2 linked regions of the Macaca fascicularis genome follow. The protein of the gene in region 1 purifies or fractionates together with the protein of each later gene. This does not show direct contact. Links are inferred from orthologs where the notes say so. Each region holds a gene or a part of one and is shown in the gene's direction. Other genes may lie near its edges.

Evidence for each region.
Region 2: the proteins of TESK1 (region 1) and RABEPK purify together in Homo sapiens (affinity purification with mass spectrometry; 3 studies listed by BioGRID and IntAct, with this or other methods). This does not show direct contact. The link is inferred for Macaca fascicularis from reciprocal best matches to the Homo sapiens genes TESK1 and RABEPK.

What each region holds. Positions count from the first base shown.
Region 1 is NC_088389.1:63,791,931-63,798,355, reverse strand, and holds the start of TESK1 (dual specificity testis-specific protein kinase 1), read left to right. Parts: upstream 1-2,202; 5' UTR 2,203-2,562; coding exon 2,563-2,781; intron 2,782-2,926; coding exon 2,927-3,048; intron 3,049-3,179; coding exon 3,180-3,228; intron 3,229-3,781; coding exon 3,782-3,928; intron 3,929-4,271; coding exon 4,272-4,354; intron 4,355-4,526; coding exon 4,527-4,617; intron 4,618-4,872; coding exon 4,873-4,956; intron 4,957-5,104; coding exon 5,105-5,194; intron 5,195-5,338; coding exon 5,339-5,453; intron 5,454-5,804; coding exon 5,805-6,425. UniProt on the Homo sapiens protein: Dual specificity protein kinase activity catalyzing autophosphorylation and phosphorylation of exogenous substrates on both serine/threonine and tyrosine residues.
Region 2 is NC_088389.1:18,838,229-18,843,994, reverse strand, and holds part of RABEPK (rab9 effector protein with kelch motifs), read left to right. Parts: intron 1-2,642; coding exon 2,643-2,804; intron 2,805-5,766. UniProt on the Homo sapiens protein: Rab9 effector required for endosome to trans-Golgi network (TGN) transport.

The sequences.
Region 1 (6,425 bases):
GTGTAATGGCGCGATCTTGGCTCACTGCAATCTCCGCCTCCCGGGTTTAGGCGATTCACCTGCCTCAGACTCCCAAGTAGCTGGGATTACAGGTGCCCGCCACCTCGTCACGCTAATTTTTTTGTATTTTTAGTAGAGACGGGGTTTCACTATGTTGGCCAGGCTGGTCTCATCTTCTCCTGATTGAACCACAGACACAGCCTCCTTCCTAATCAGTGTTGGCCAGGCTGGTCTCATCCTCTCCTGATTAAACCACAGTCACAGCCTCCTTCCTAATCAGTCTCCCTGCCTCCATACAACCACCGCAATCATCTTTCCAAAATAGGCATCTGGCTCTTTGGCTTGGAATTACCATTACTATTACAGTAATTCTCAAACATGATAAAGGGCCAGAACCCAATATCGGTTAAAAGATCTATGATATTACTTAAACAAAATGAGGCATAAATTCCTAGTGTTTACAGATGTCATACAACAATAGAAAGCAAATTCACAAATAGTTGTAGATGTTAGCATTAAATATGATGAATGAGCGTGTGCTGAGACCAAACGCCTCCAGAAAAAAGAACAGGATGCATGTGCCCTGGGCAATTCTGCGGCTGGCCTGCCTCCACCGGCTGTGGAAGGATTGCGAACGTCTCCCTTCCTCTCGCTCCAAACTTGTGCAATACCTTCCCTTGTACGGCGCACCAAGACAGCATCTGGCCTTCTCTTGACTCTAAGGCATCATGTATCATTTATGACCGTCTTTATTCTTTTCTCAGTAGCCCTCGACAACTGAGTAGTACTTCTTGGCTCCAACTCTCATAAACGTGTAACCAGACTCCATTGGAAGACGGTAACCCCACGCGATACGGACTGTGCTTGTATTAATTTTCTTTTAAGGTTACTACAGAAATATTAATACAGTACTTGAGAATTCCTGACGGACGCAGCCTCGCTTCCTCAGCTCTCTGAGCCGGCCTCCGCACCCGGTACCGCAGCTTTCACTCCCGCCGCCTACCGTTCCGCCGCTAGGGGGCAAGCGGCTCAACGACGCCCATTTAAACCGTTTGCCCCGGAGTGGCCTGCCGGGATCGCGTGTCACCACCCAACCCTGGCGATGATTGGCTATTTTGCCGAGGCCGGAGGCGGAGCCAGCGGCAGAACCGGAAGTATCTGGTACGGCAAGTGCACAGAGTCCGCAGACTGCATGCGCACCCGGGCACCGCGCCGACTTAAAGAGGCCAGTTGCAGCCCCTCCTCTGGCCTGAGGGGACAGACCGTGTTCCTACGTGGAGGGCGGAACCCTCACACTGAGGAGGGCTGGGTCACACTGAGGGGAGGAGTCACCTTGAGAGGAGGGGTCACAATGACTTAGTGGAGTCACTCGGAGGTGGGGTCTCACTGCGTGGGAGGAACACAGAGCAAGGGGGTGCAGCACTGAGGGGTTCTGACACACACTGACGGTGGCAGTGCCACACTGGGGAAAAGTGCTCCCGAAAGGGAGGTGTCTCCGAGAGAAAGCGTTCTTTGAGGGGGTGGGATCTTGCGGAAGGAGGGGCTTCCCTGCAGGTGGTGGCTTCTCTCTTAGAGTCATTTGGACAAAGTAATAAGAGGGAGATCCCGGCTGGGTAGTCACAGGGCGGAGGACCTGGACTCTCTTCTTTATTGGGAGATGGCAGGATGAAGTGAGGAGTCGGGGCTAAGCTGGGTATGGGCCGGCCAAAGGCTCCCTATAGCCCCGAGGTATCACAACCTCCCGTGAAGGTAGAAGGTGTTAGGGAGGCCAGAGGTTCAAGGTGTCGGAGTCGAAGAGACCTGGGAAATGGGCAGGCTGGGCCGCGGCGCAGGCCAGGAAGGTGGACAGGTTGCTGGGCTGCCTCAGATTGCGACTGGGCCTGAGGGGCCTACGTTTCTGCCCCGTTGGTCCCTGGAGCCCAAGAATCCGGCAGGTTTCTGAGCCCGACCCACAACGGACAGTCCCAGGGAGGACAGGGGACTCCCTGGGCAGCTAAGCTTCGCATGCGCACCATCAGCCCTTAATTCCCTTTCGTTATTCAAGTTCAGGCCTGAGCTTATTTGACCCGGACGGCCCAGGGCCTCGCGGCCGGAGAGCTGGGAGGCGGGGGTGCGCACCTGAGGGGGCGTGGCCGCTGCCGGGAGGCCGGGCTGGAAGGAGTTAAGCGGAGGCCCGGCCCAGCCCCGCCCCCGGCAGGCCGCGGAGCCTGAGCCCCGGCGGCTAAGCGGAGCAGCCGCCGCCCGCCCGCCTCCGCCCGCGGCGAGCTAGCCCGCCGGCGCCCGGGAGCGCTGCCGCCACCGTCGCCGCCACCGTCACCGCCACTGCCCGGTCCAGGCCCAAGCCCAGGCCTACGCAGAGCGGAGCGGCGCGGCGTCCACCCGGGCCCAGCTAGCCGGCGCGGCGGGGGCGGGTCCAGGATCTTCGGCTGATCTTCATTCTCAAGGCGGGAGCGGGAGTCCGGGCGCCCAGGATCTGGCTGGGCCCGCGCCCATGGCAAGCGCGGCCTGCCCGGGCCCCGGGGACCCTGCCATGTGAGGCAGGCCCGGGCTGGGGGCCCGGCCATGGCCGGGGAACGGCCCCCACTGCGGGGCCCTGGGCCCGGGCCTGGAGAGGTGCCGGGGGAGGGGCCCCCGGGGCCGGGGGGCGCGGGCGGAGGCCCGGGCCGCGGCCGCCCCTCCTCCTACCGGGCTCTCCGCAGCGCCGTGTCTAGCCTGGCCCGTGTGGACGATTTTCACTGCGCGGAGAAGATCGGGGCCGGCTTCTTCTCTGAGGTCTACAAGGTAGGACCGGCCGAGAGGGCAGAGGGGCGGGACCGAGCCTTCAACCAGAGGCTGCAACTAGGGGGCCGGGAGTGCGGGGAAGAGGGTCCAGACTCGGGCGACCCTCCCGACCTGCCCGACCCTCGCCGGCCGCCCCCGCCCCCAGGTTCGGCACCGACAGTCAGGGCAAGTCATGGTGCTGAAGATGAACAAGCTCCCCAGTAACCGGGGCAACACACTACGAGAAGTGCAACTGATGAACCGGCTCAGGCACCCCAACATCCTAAGGTAAGCGGCCCCAGTCTCTGGGCAGCTTGCTGGGCGGGAGAGAAAAGGAAAGATCCCGCGGGAAACGTGGAACTGAGGAGGAGCTGAGGCCCTTAACAGCCTACCCTTCTATCTTCCCCCTTCTCTTGCAGGTTCATGGGGGTCTGTGTGCACCAGGGACAGCTGCACGCTCTTACAGAGGTGAGGATAGACCAGGAAGGAGGGATCCCCACCCCCCCTTCACCCCCAAGGATAAAGGCAGTGAACAGGCCTGGTGGATCTACGGAGGACTAGTGAGAGGCAACAGGATCTCCTCCCAGGGGAGGCTTTCCTGAACTTCCCTTTAGGCAAACCACGTATAAAAGGCCTCAGCTGGTCTTATTCTCTGTATCCCCTAGAATAGTGCTGTCCAATAGAATTTTCTTCAGTGATGGAAATGTTCTCTATCTGTGCTGTCCTATACAGTAGCCACTAGCCACATGTGGTTAAATTTAAATTATGTTAATTGTTTAGATTTTTTTTGTGGGTCAACTTGATTAAATTTTAAAAATTTTAAATTATTTAAGTTGTTGCACATGGCTAATGGCTACTGAGTTGAACAGGGCAACCCTAGAACATGGATGGAGGGTCCTACAGCACAATCTTACCCCTCTGACCTCTGTGATCCTCCGGAGTGTCCCCTAGCTTATAAGTGGGGGACCTAGAATACAGACTGAAGTCTGACATCCATTCCCATTCTCCTCCTATGCACCAGTATATGAATGGGGGGACCTTGGAACAGCTGCTCAGCTCCCCTGAACCCCTATCCTGGCCTGTCAGGCTCCGCCTGGCCCTGGACATTGCCCGAGGCCTGCGGTACCTGCACTCCAAAGGTGTATTTCACCGGGACCTTACATCCAAGGTAGGCTAGTGGGGTGGGTGGAGGCATGAAAGAGGGTTTGAGACTATTAGGTTGTAACTGTCCTGTGGACATTGGAATGTGGATAACAGATATATTAGGATGTTGGAGTGGCGAGGCATTGGAGAATATTGGAGGACCAGGGTGAGGGGAGTGCTCGGAGGGACTGAATAGCACCCTGTGTTTGGAGTGTTGGGTGATGTTGCAATATTGAAGTGCCTTGAAAAACTGGGAGAGCAGAGAGGGTTGGGGTTATGCTGGAGTGACAGGGCTTTGGGTTATACATTGGGAGGCCAGAGGGCAGAAGGTGATGAGTGCTTGGGGATACTATGTGTGTGTGTGTCAGAACTGTCTAGTCCGACGGGAAGATCGAGGCTTCACCGCTGTCGTGGGTGACTTCGGGCTGGCTGAAAAGATTCCTGTGTATAGGTGAGGTGAATGTCCCTGTTCCCCCCAAATCTCCCAGAGTGCCCCTATCTGATGTCCCCAGAGCCCCAGCGATGTTTCCCTTGGGGAGAGAAGGGAGTTCACCTCATCCCCTTTTCCCTGGGGGAGATGCCTGAGTAGGATGTTTCTGACCACCCTGCCCCTGCCCCTGCAGGGAGGGGGCAAGAAAGGAGCCATTGGCTGTGGTGGGCTCCCCATACTGGATGGCTCCAGAGGTGTTACGGGGTGAGCTGTATGATGAGAAGGTGAGACATCAACCCTTCAGATCCCCAAGGCCTTCCGAGACCCTTGAGGTTTTCTCATAAAGCCCCATCCATCCCCAAAACAACCCTACCAGATCTTCAGGAGTCCCCAAGATCCCTTTGCCCCTCACAGGCACCCTTCCAACACATGAAAACTGTCAAGATCCCCCACCCTCAACCAAATTCAGCTATATTCTGTCAAAATTCTGAAATGAAAACTGTTAATTCTTCCACGACACTGTTATCTCTGACCCCCAGGCTGATGTCTTTGCCTTCGGAATTGTCCTCTGTGAGCTCATCGCCCGAGTACCTGCAGACCCTGACTACCTACCACGCACTGAGGTGAATGTCTCCAGGTTTGCAAACGAAGAACTCCAGACTAGCCAGCTCATAACCAAGGAGGATTCCCTAGAGGTTGAGGTTCTGACTGGGGAGCAGAAGGAGAACCCAAGAAAAGCTGACTTGGAGGTCCCTCCTTCTGTCCCCACAGGACTTTGGCCTGGATGTGCCTGCCTTCCGAACTCTAGTGGGGGATGACTGTCCACTGCCTTTCCTGCTTCTGGCCATCCACTGCTGCAGCGTAAGAGCCTCACAGCCCTTCCGCTCCACCCTGCCCCCATCTATAAGCTGCCATGGCTGCCCTATGGGACCCAGGTGATGGGAGGAAACTCAGAGACCCTCTTTCGGAGCACTGAGTGAAGCCATTCCCGTCTCTACCCATCAGCTGGAACCCAGCACCCGTGCCCCCTTCACCGAAATCACCCAGCACCTGGAATGGATCCTGGAGCAGCTGCCTGAGCCAGCCCCACTCACCAGGACTCCCCTGACACACAATCAGGGTAAGTGAGCATGACCTTGACCCAGCTTAAGTCCTTTGGCCTTTCTCATCCTTAAAACTCAGAGATGACATGGAGGAGGCTAAATATATTTATTAGTTGAAAAGGCTGGCAGTCGGGCTGGGGTAGGGTGGGAGGACATCTCAAAGAAGACAGTTTCCTAATGCTAAAGCTTGAGGGAGGGGAGGGGAACAAGTAAAAGGGGCCTGGAGATGACATCGCCCCTTTCCAAAGAACCAGGTGGGACTCCCTTTTTCAAGCTCTAGTCCCACCAGCCTCCTGGAGAATAGTGAGGCCCTCAAGGAGCTGTGATCAAATGCTGAGGACAGTGATTACAGACTTCTCTGTCTACAGGCTCTGTTCCAAGAGGGGGTCCCTCTGCCACGCTTCCTAGGCCAGACCCCCGGCTTTCCCGAAGCCGGTCAGACCTCTTCCTGCCCCCATCACCAGAATCACCCCCAAACTGGGGGGACAATCTGACTCGAGTCAACCCCTTCTCACTACGGGAAGACCTCAGGGGTGGCAAGATCAAGCTTTTGGACACACCCAGCAAGCCAGTCCTGCCTCTTGTGCCACCATCACCATTCCCCTCCACTCAGCTGCCCTTGGTGACCACCCCGGAGACGCTGGTCCAGCCTGGAACACCTGCCCGCCGCTGCCGCTCACTACCTTCATCCCCTGAGCTCCCCCGCCGTATGGAGACAGCACTTCCAGGTCCTGGCCCTCCCCCCGTGGGCCCCTCGGCTGAAGAAAAGATGGAGTGTGAGGGCAGCAGCCCTGAGCCGGAACCTCCAGGACCAGCGCCCCAGCTGCCTCTGGCTGTGGCCACAGACAACTTCATCAGCACCTGTTCCTCGGCCACCCAACCCTGGTCCCCTAGATCAGGACCTGTCCTCAATAACAATCCCCCAGCTGTGGTGGTGAACTCCCCACAAGGCTGGGCTGGGGAGCCCTGGAACCGGGCCCAGCATAGCC
Region 2 (5,766 bases), about 45 Mb from region 1:
TATCATTTGTTTGTTTTGTTTTGGGTTTTTTTGTTGTTGTTAACTTTTTTTTTTTTTTTTCAAGGCAGGGTCTCACTCTTTTGCCTAGGCTGGGATGCAGTGGTTTGATCACAGCTCACTGCAGCCTCGACCATCCAGGCTCAGGTGATCCTCCTAGCTCAGCCTCCCAGGTAGCTGGGACTACAGGCGCTTGCCACCATGCCTAGCTAATTTGTTTGTATTTTTTGTAGAGACAGGGTTTTGCCATGTTGCCCATGCTGGTCTCAAACTCCTGGGGTCAAGCAATTTGCCTGCCTCAGCCTCCCAAAGTGTTGGGATTACAGACATGAGCCACTGCACCTGGCCAACATCATTTTTAATGGCTGTATCATGCTCCATTATATATAAAATACTCCATAATACCGTAATTCCTCCATTTATGAACATTTAGTTCCTTTCAGGTTTTTACCATTATAATTAACAAAGCAGTGAACATCTTCATTCAGAAGTCATAGACTGTATTTCAAATTATTTTCTTAGGGTTCCTGCCAAGCAATAAAAAGACTAGGTAAAATATTGTGAACCTTTTCAAGGTTTTGATACATACTACCAAATTGCTCTCCAGAAAGATTTTTCCAGTTTATCCTCTCTCCAACTGTGTTTAACAATGTTTCTTTCATTACTGACCAGCACTGAATTTATCAGTTTTAAACATTGCTAATTTGATAGGCAAAAAAACTTGTGCACAGTTTAAATATGCATTTTGGGCCAGCGCGGTGGCTCACACCTGTAATCCCAGCACTTTGGGAGGCTGATCACCTGAAGTCAGGAGTTTAAGAGCAGCCTGGCCAACATGGTGAAACCCTGTCACTACTAAAAATACAAAAATTAGCCTGTAGTCCCAGCTACTGATGAGGGTGAGGCAGGAGGATCGCTTGAACCCAGGAGGCAGAGGTTGCAATGTGCCGAGATCGTACCACAGCCTGAGCAATGAGTGAGACTCCCTGTCAAAAAAGCATTTTTTGACCTGGACATTTTTCACATGTCAGCCAACTCTTGCTCAGTTCCCTCTATCAACAATATATTTGGGGTGTTGCCCACCTAATGCATTTGTTGAGTATTGCCCGATAAAAAAATAAAAATTAAAAAAAAATCTATTTGTACAATAGTTGGTCAGAGTTCAGGAACTAGGACCAAATTTTCTTACATGTCAAGTATTTAAATTCCTTCAGCATATTTAGACAGTATGTTATCTTTCAATTTGATTTATTTGTTTGGGTATGTATTTCCTGTCGTCCCTCCTCCTCCCTGCCCTCCCTCTATGGAACATAAGTGCTTCGAAGGGAAGAGTTTGTTTATTGTTGAATATTCAGGGTACAGAACACTGTCAGAAATAGAGTAGACACGGCGGGGCATGGTGGCTCACGCCTGTAATCCCAACACTTTGGGAGGATGAGGAGGGCAGATCACAAGGTCAGGAGTTCCAGACCAGCCTGACCAACATACTGAAACCCCGTCTCTACTAAAAATACAAAAAAAAAAAAAAAAATTAGCTGGGCGTGGTGGCAGGTGCCTGTAGTCCCAGCTACTTGGGAGGCTGAGGCAGGAGAATCGCTTGAACCTGGGAGGTGGAGGTTGCAGTAAGCCGAGATCGCGCCACCGCACTCCAGCCTGGGTGACAGAGTGAGACTCCGTCTCAAAACAAAAAAGACGAAGAAAGAGATAGACACTTGGCAGACCATTTGGCTAATTGTGAAGCCAATTTGCTTGGAGGAGTAGCAGTATGATGTGGTGGTTAAGGGCACAGATGAGGGTCTCTGCTTTGCTAGGCACTAACTATGTCCTTGGACAAGTGACTTAATCTCTCTCTGCCTCTGTGTTCTGTCACGTTGGATAATAACAGTTTCTGCCTTGTTAATTTGTCAAGGATTTAAATAAACTCAGTATCTGGCACATAATTAATGCTCAATAATTGTGGTAGTTGGTGTAGTTAAGGTTTGGCAAAGGGAAATCAGTTCTAGAACCCTGGCCTTTCGATTTCCAACAGTGGTATCCATTGAAATAAAATACAGTGAGAATTTGGAAAGCTTCTGTCAAAGAGGGTGATTTTATTTTATTTTATTTTATGTTATTTTATTTTATTTTATTTTTTTGAGACAGAGTCTCGCTCTGTTGCCGAGGCTGGAGTGCAGTGGTGCAATCTCAGTTCACTGCAACCGCCGCCTCCTGGGTTCAAGCGATTCTCCTGCCTCAACCTCCTGTGGAGCTGGGATTACAGGTCCCCACTACCACGCCTGGCTAATTTTAGTAGAGATGGGGTTTCACCCGATGTTGGCCAGGCTGGTCTCGAACTCCTGACCTCAAGTGATCCGCCTGCCCTGGCCTCCCAAAGTGCTGGGATTACAGGCAAGAGCCACTGCACCCAGCCTGACCCCATTCTTGTACTTACGGCTTTTAAATCTTGGGGATTTTGGACCGTCTTGGCAAATCCTAAGTATCATCTTCATTCTTCCTTGATGTTTGTGAGTATGAGATCCCTGCCCAAAACTAGGCTGTCCCCACTTGGGATTGGAGTCTGAAAACTGACTTCACTCAGCCCCAGAGTCAAGGTCAGAAGCCCCTCAACCTCGGTATTTTAAGTGCCTTCATTCTCTCTGGCCCAGAAACCAGGATGTGGACCACGCCAGAAGTGACCAGCCCCCCACCATCCCCAAGAACATTCCACACATCATCCGCAGCCATTGGAAACCAGCTGTATGTCTTTGGGGGCGGAGAGAGAGGTGCCCAGCCTGTTCAGGACACGAAGCTGCACGTGTTTGACGCAAGTATGGACTGGTGGGCACCTTGGGGCTGGTCAGGGCCATCCCAGTCTACAAATTACCTAATGTAGGAAGCAGAAGTTAAAAAAGGAAAGCCTGCTGGGCGCGGTGGCTCACACCTGTAATCCCAGCACTTTGGGAGGCCGAGGCGGGCGGATCACAAGGTCAGGAGATTGAGGCCACGGTGAAACCCCGTCTCTACTAAAAATACAAAAAATTAGCCGGGGGCGGTGGCGGGCGCCTGTAGTCCCAGCTACTTCGGAGGCTGAGGCAGGAGAATGGCAGGAACCCGGGAGGCGGAGCTTGCAGTGAGCTGAGATCGCGCCACTGCGCTCCAGCCAGGGGGACAGAGCGGGACTCCGTCTCAAAAAAAAAAGGAAAGCCTGTTTCACTTCTAGACTTCTTTGTTATATCTCTTACCTGGTATCTTTTTCCCACAGCAAAATTGGCATTTAAAAAGGGATAATGAGGCCTGGTGCCCCAGAGCTTTGGGAGGCTGAGGCAAGTGGATCACTTAAGGTCAGGAGTTTGAGAACAGCCTGGCTAACATATCTGGTCTCTACTAAAAATTAAAAAAGTATCCGGGCATGATGGCACGCACCTGTAATCCCAGTTACTGAGGAGGCTGAGGCAGGAGAATCGCTTAAACCCAGGAGGAGGAGGTTTCAGTGAGCCAAGATGGGGCCACTGCACTCAGCCTGAGTAACATACTCTGTCTCAAAAAATAAATAAATAAATAGATAAATAAATAAATAAATAAATAAATAAATAAATAAATAAAACTAAAAAGATAGGCCGGGCACGGTGGCTCACGCCTGTAATCCCAGCACTTTGGGACGCCGTGGCGGGAGGATCACCTGAGATCAGGAGTTTGAAACCAGCCTAGCCATCATGGCAAAACCCCGTCTCTACTAAAAATACAAAAACTGTCTGGGTGCAGCGGTGGGTGCCTGTAATCCCAGCTACTCGGGAGGCTGAGTCAAGAGAATCACTTGAACTCGGGAGGCGGAGATGGCAGTGAGCCAAGATCGTACCAGATCGTACCACTGGACTCCAAGTGAGCCAAGATCGTACCACTGCACTCCAGCCTGGGTGACAGAGCGAGACTCTGTCTCAAAAAAAAAAAAAAAAGAGGGCCGGGCGCGGTGGCTCAAGCCTGTAATCCCAGCACTTTGGGAGGCCGAGACGGGCGGATCACGAGGTCAGGAGATCGAGACCATCCTGGCTAACACGGTGAAACCCCGTCTCTACTAAAAAATACAAAAAACTAGCCGGGCGCGGTGGCGGGTGCCTGTAGTCCCAACTACTCGGGAGGCTGAGGCAGGAGAATGGCGTAAACCCGGGAGGCGGAGCTTGCAGTGAGCTGAGATCCGGCCACTGCACTCCAGCCTGGGTGGCAGAGCGAGACTCCATCTCAAAAAAAAAAAAAAAAAAAAAAAAAAAAAAAAAGAACAGAGATAATTCTATATGTTACATTTGCATCCTGAATTTTTCACTTAAGTATTGTTCCATGCAATCAGAAAGTCTTCACCAACATTTTGAAATTATTATTATTATATAAATATAAATATTAGAGTCAGGGTCTCACTGCATTGCCAAGGCGGGTCTCAAACTCCTAGCCTCAAGTGATCCTTCAGCTTTGGTCCCTCAAAGTGCTGGCATTATAGGCATTGAGCCACACCACCTGGCCTTCACCATCATTTTTAATAAGTGCTTAGGTTGGGCGCGGTGGCTCGTGCCTGTAATCCCAGCACTTTGGGAGGCCAAGGCAGGTGGATCACAAGGTCAGCAGTTTGAGACCAGCCTGGCCAAGCTGGTGAAACCCCTTATCTACTAAAAATACAAAAATCAGCTGGGCACGGTGGTGGGTGCCTATAATCCCAGCTACTCAGGAGGCTGAGGCAGCAGAATTGCTTGAACCCAGGAGGCGGAGGTGGGTGGATTACCTGAGGTCAGGGTTCAAGACCAGCCTGGGCAACATGGTGAAACCCTGTCTCTACTAAAAATACAAAAAATTAGCTGGATGCGGTGGCGGGCACCTGTAATCCCAGCTACCAGGGAGGCTGAGGCAGGAGAATCCCTTGAACCTGGGAGGTGGAGGTTGCAGTGAGCCCCGATCATGCCACTGCATTCTAGCCTGGGCGACAGAACAAGGCTCCATGTCAAAAAAAAAAAAAAGTGCATAATATTTCATCATGGCTGTACCAATAATTAAACCTGTTGATGGACACTTAGGCTATTTCCAATTCTTCTTTATTATAAACAATACTGTAATGAACAAGCCAGGCATGCTGACTCATGCCTATAATCCTATCAGCTCAGGAGGCTGGAGAATCGCTTGAGCCCAAGAGTTTGAGGATGGAGGGAGCCATAATTGCACCACTGGCACTCCAGCCTTTGCAATAGAGCGAGACCCTGACTCTAAAAAAAAAAAAAATATATATATATATATATATATACACACACACACACACACACACAATAAGGAACATATTTATGCAAAAACCATTTCAGGTAATTTTAAATTAAATTCCTTGGGACACCGGGGGCTCCTTGAACAACCAGCAAGCATACCATAAACAGTAATTCAAAGATAAATTGTTTGGCAGACCTTTGCTTCAACGAGTTTTTGCAGGCCAGGCGCGGTAGCGGTAACATGCCTGTAATCCTTTGGGAGGCCACTTTGGGAGGCCAAAGCAAGGGGATCACTTGAGGTCAGGAGTTCAAAACTAGCCTGGACAACATGGTGAAACCCTGTTTCTACTGAAAATACAAAAAATTATCCGGGCTTGGTGGCGGGCGCCTGTAATCCCAGCTACTTGGGAGGCTGAGGCAGGAGAATCGCCTGAACCGGGAGGCAGATGTTGCAGTGAGCCAAGATCACACCACTGCACTCCAACCTGGGTGACAGAGCAACATTCCATCTCAAAAAAAAAAAAAAAAGGTTTTGCAGTACTCCTTTAAGACT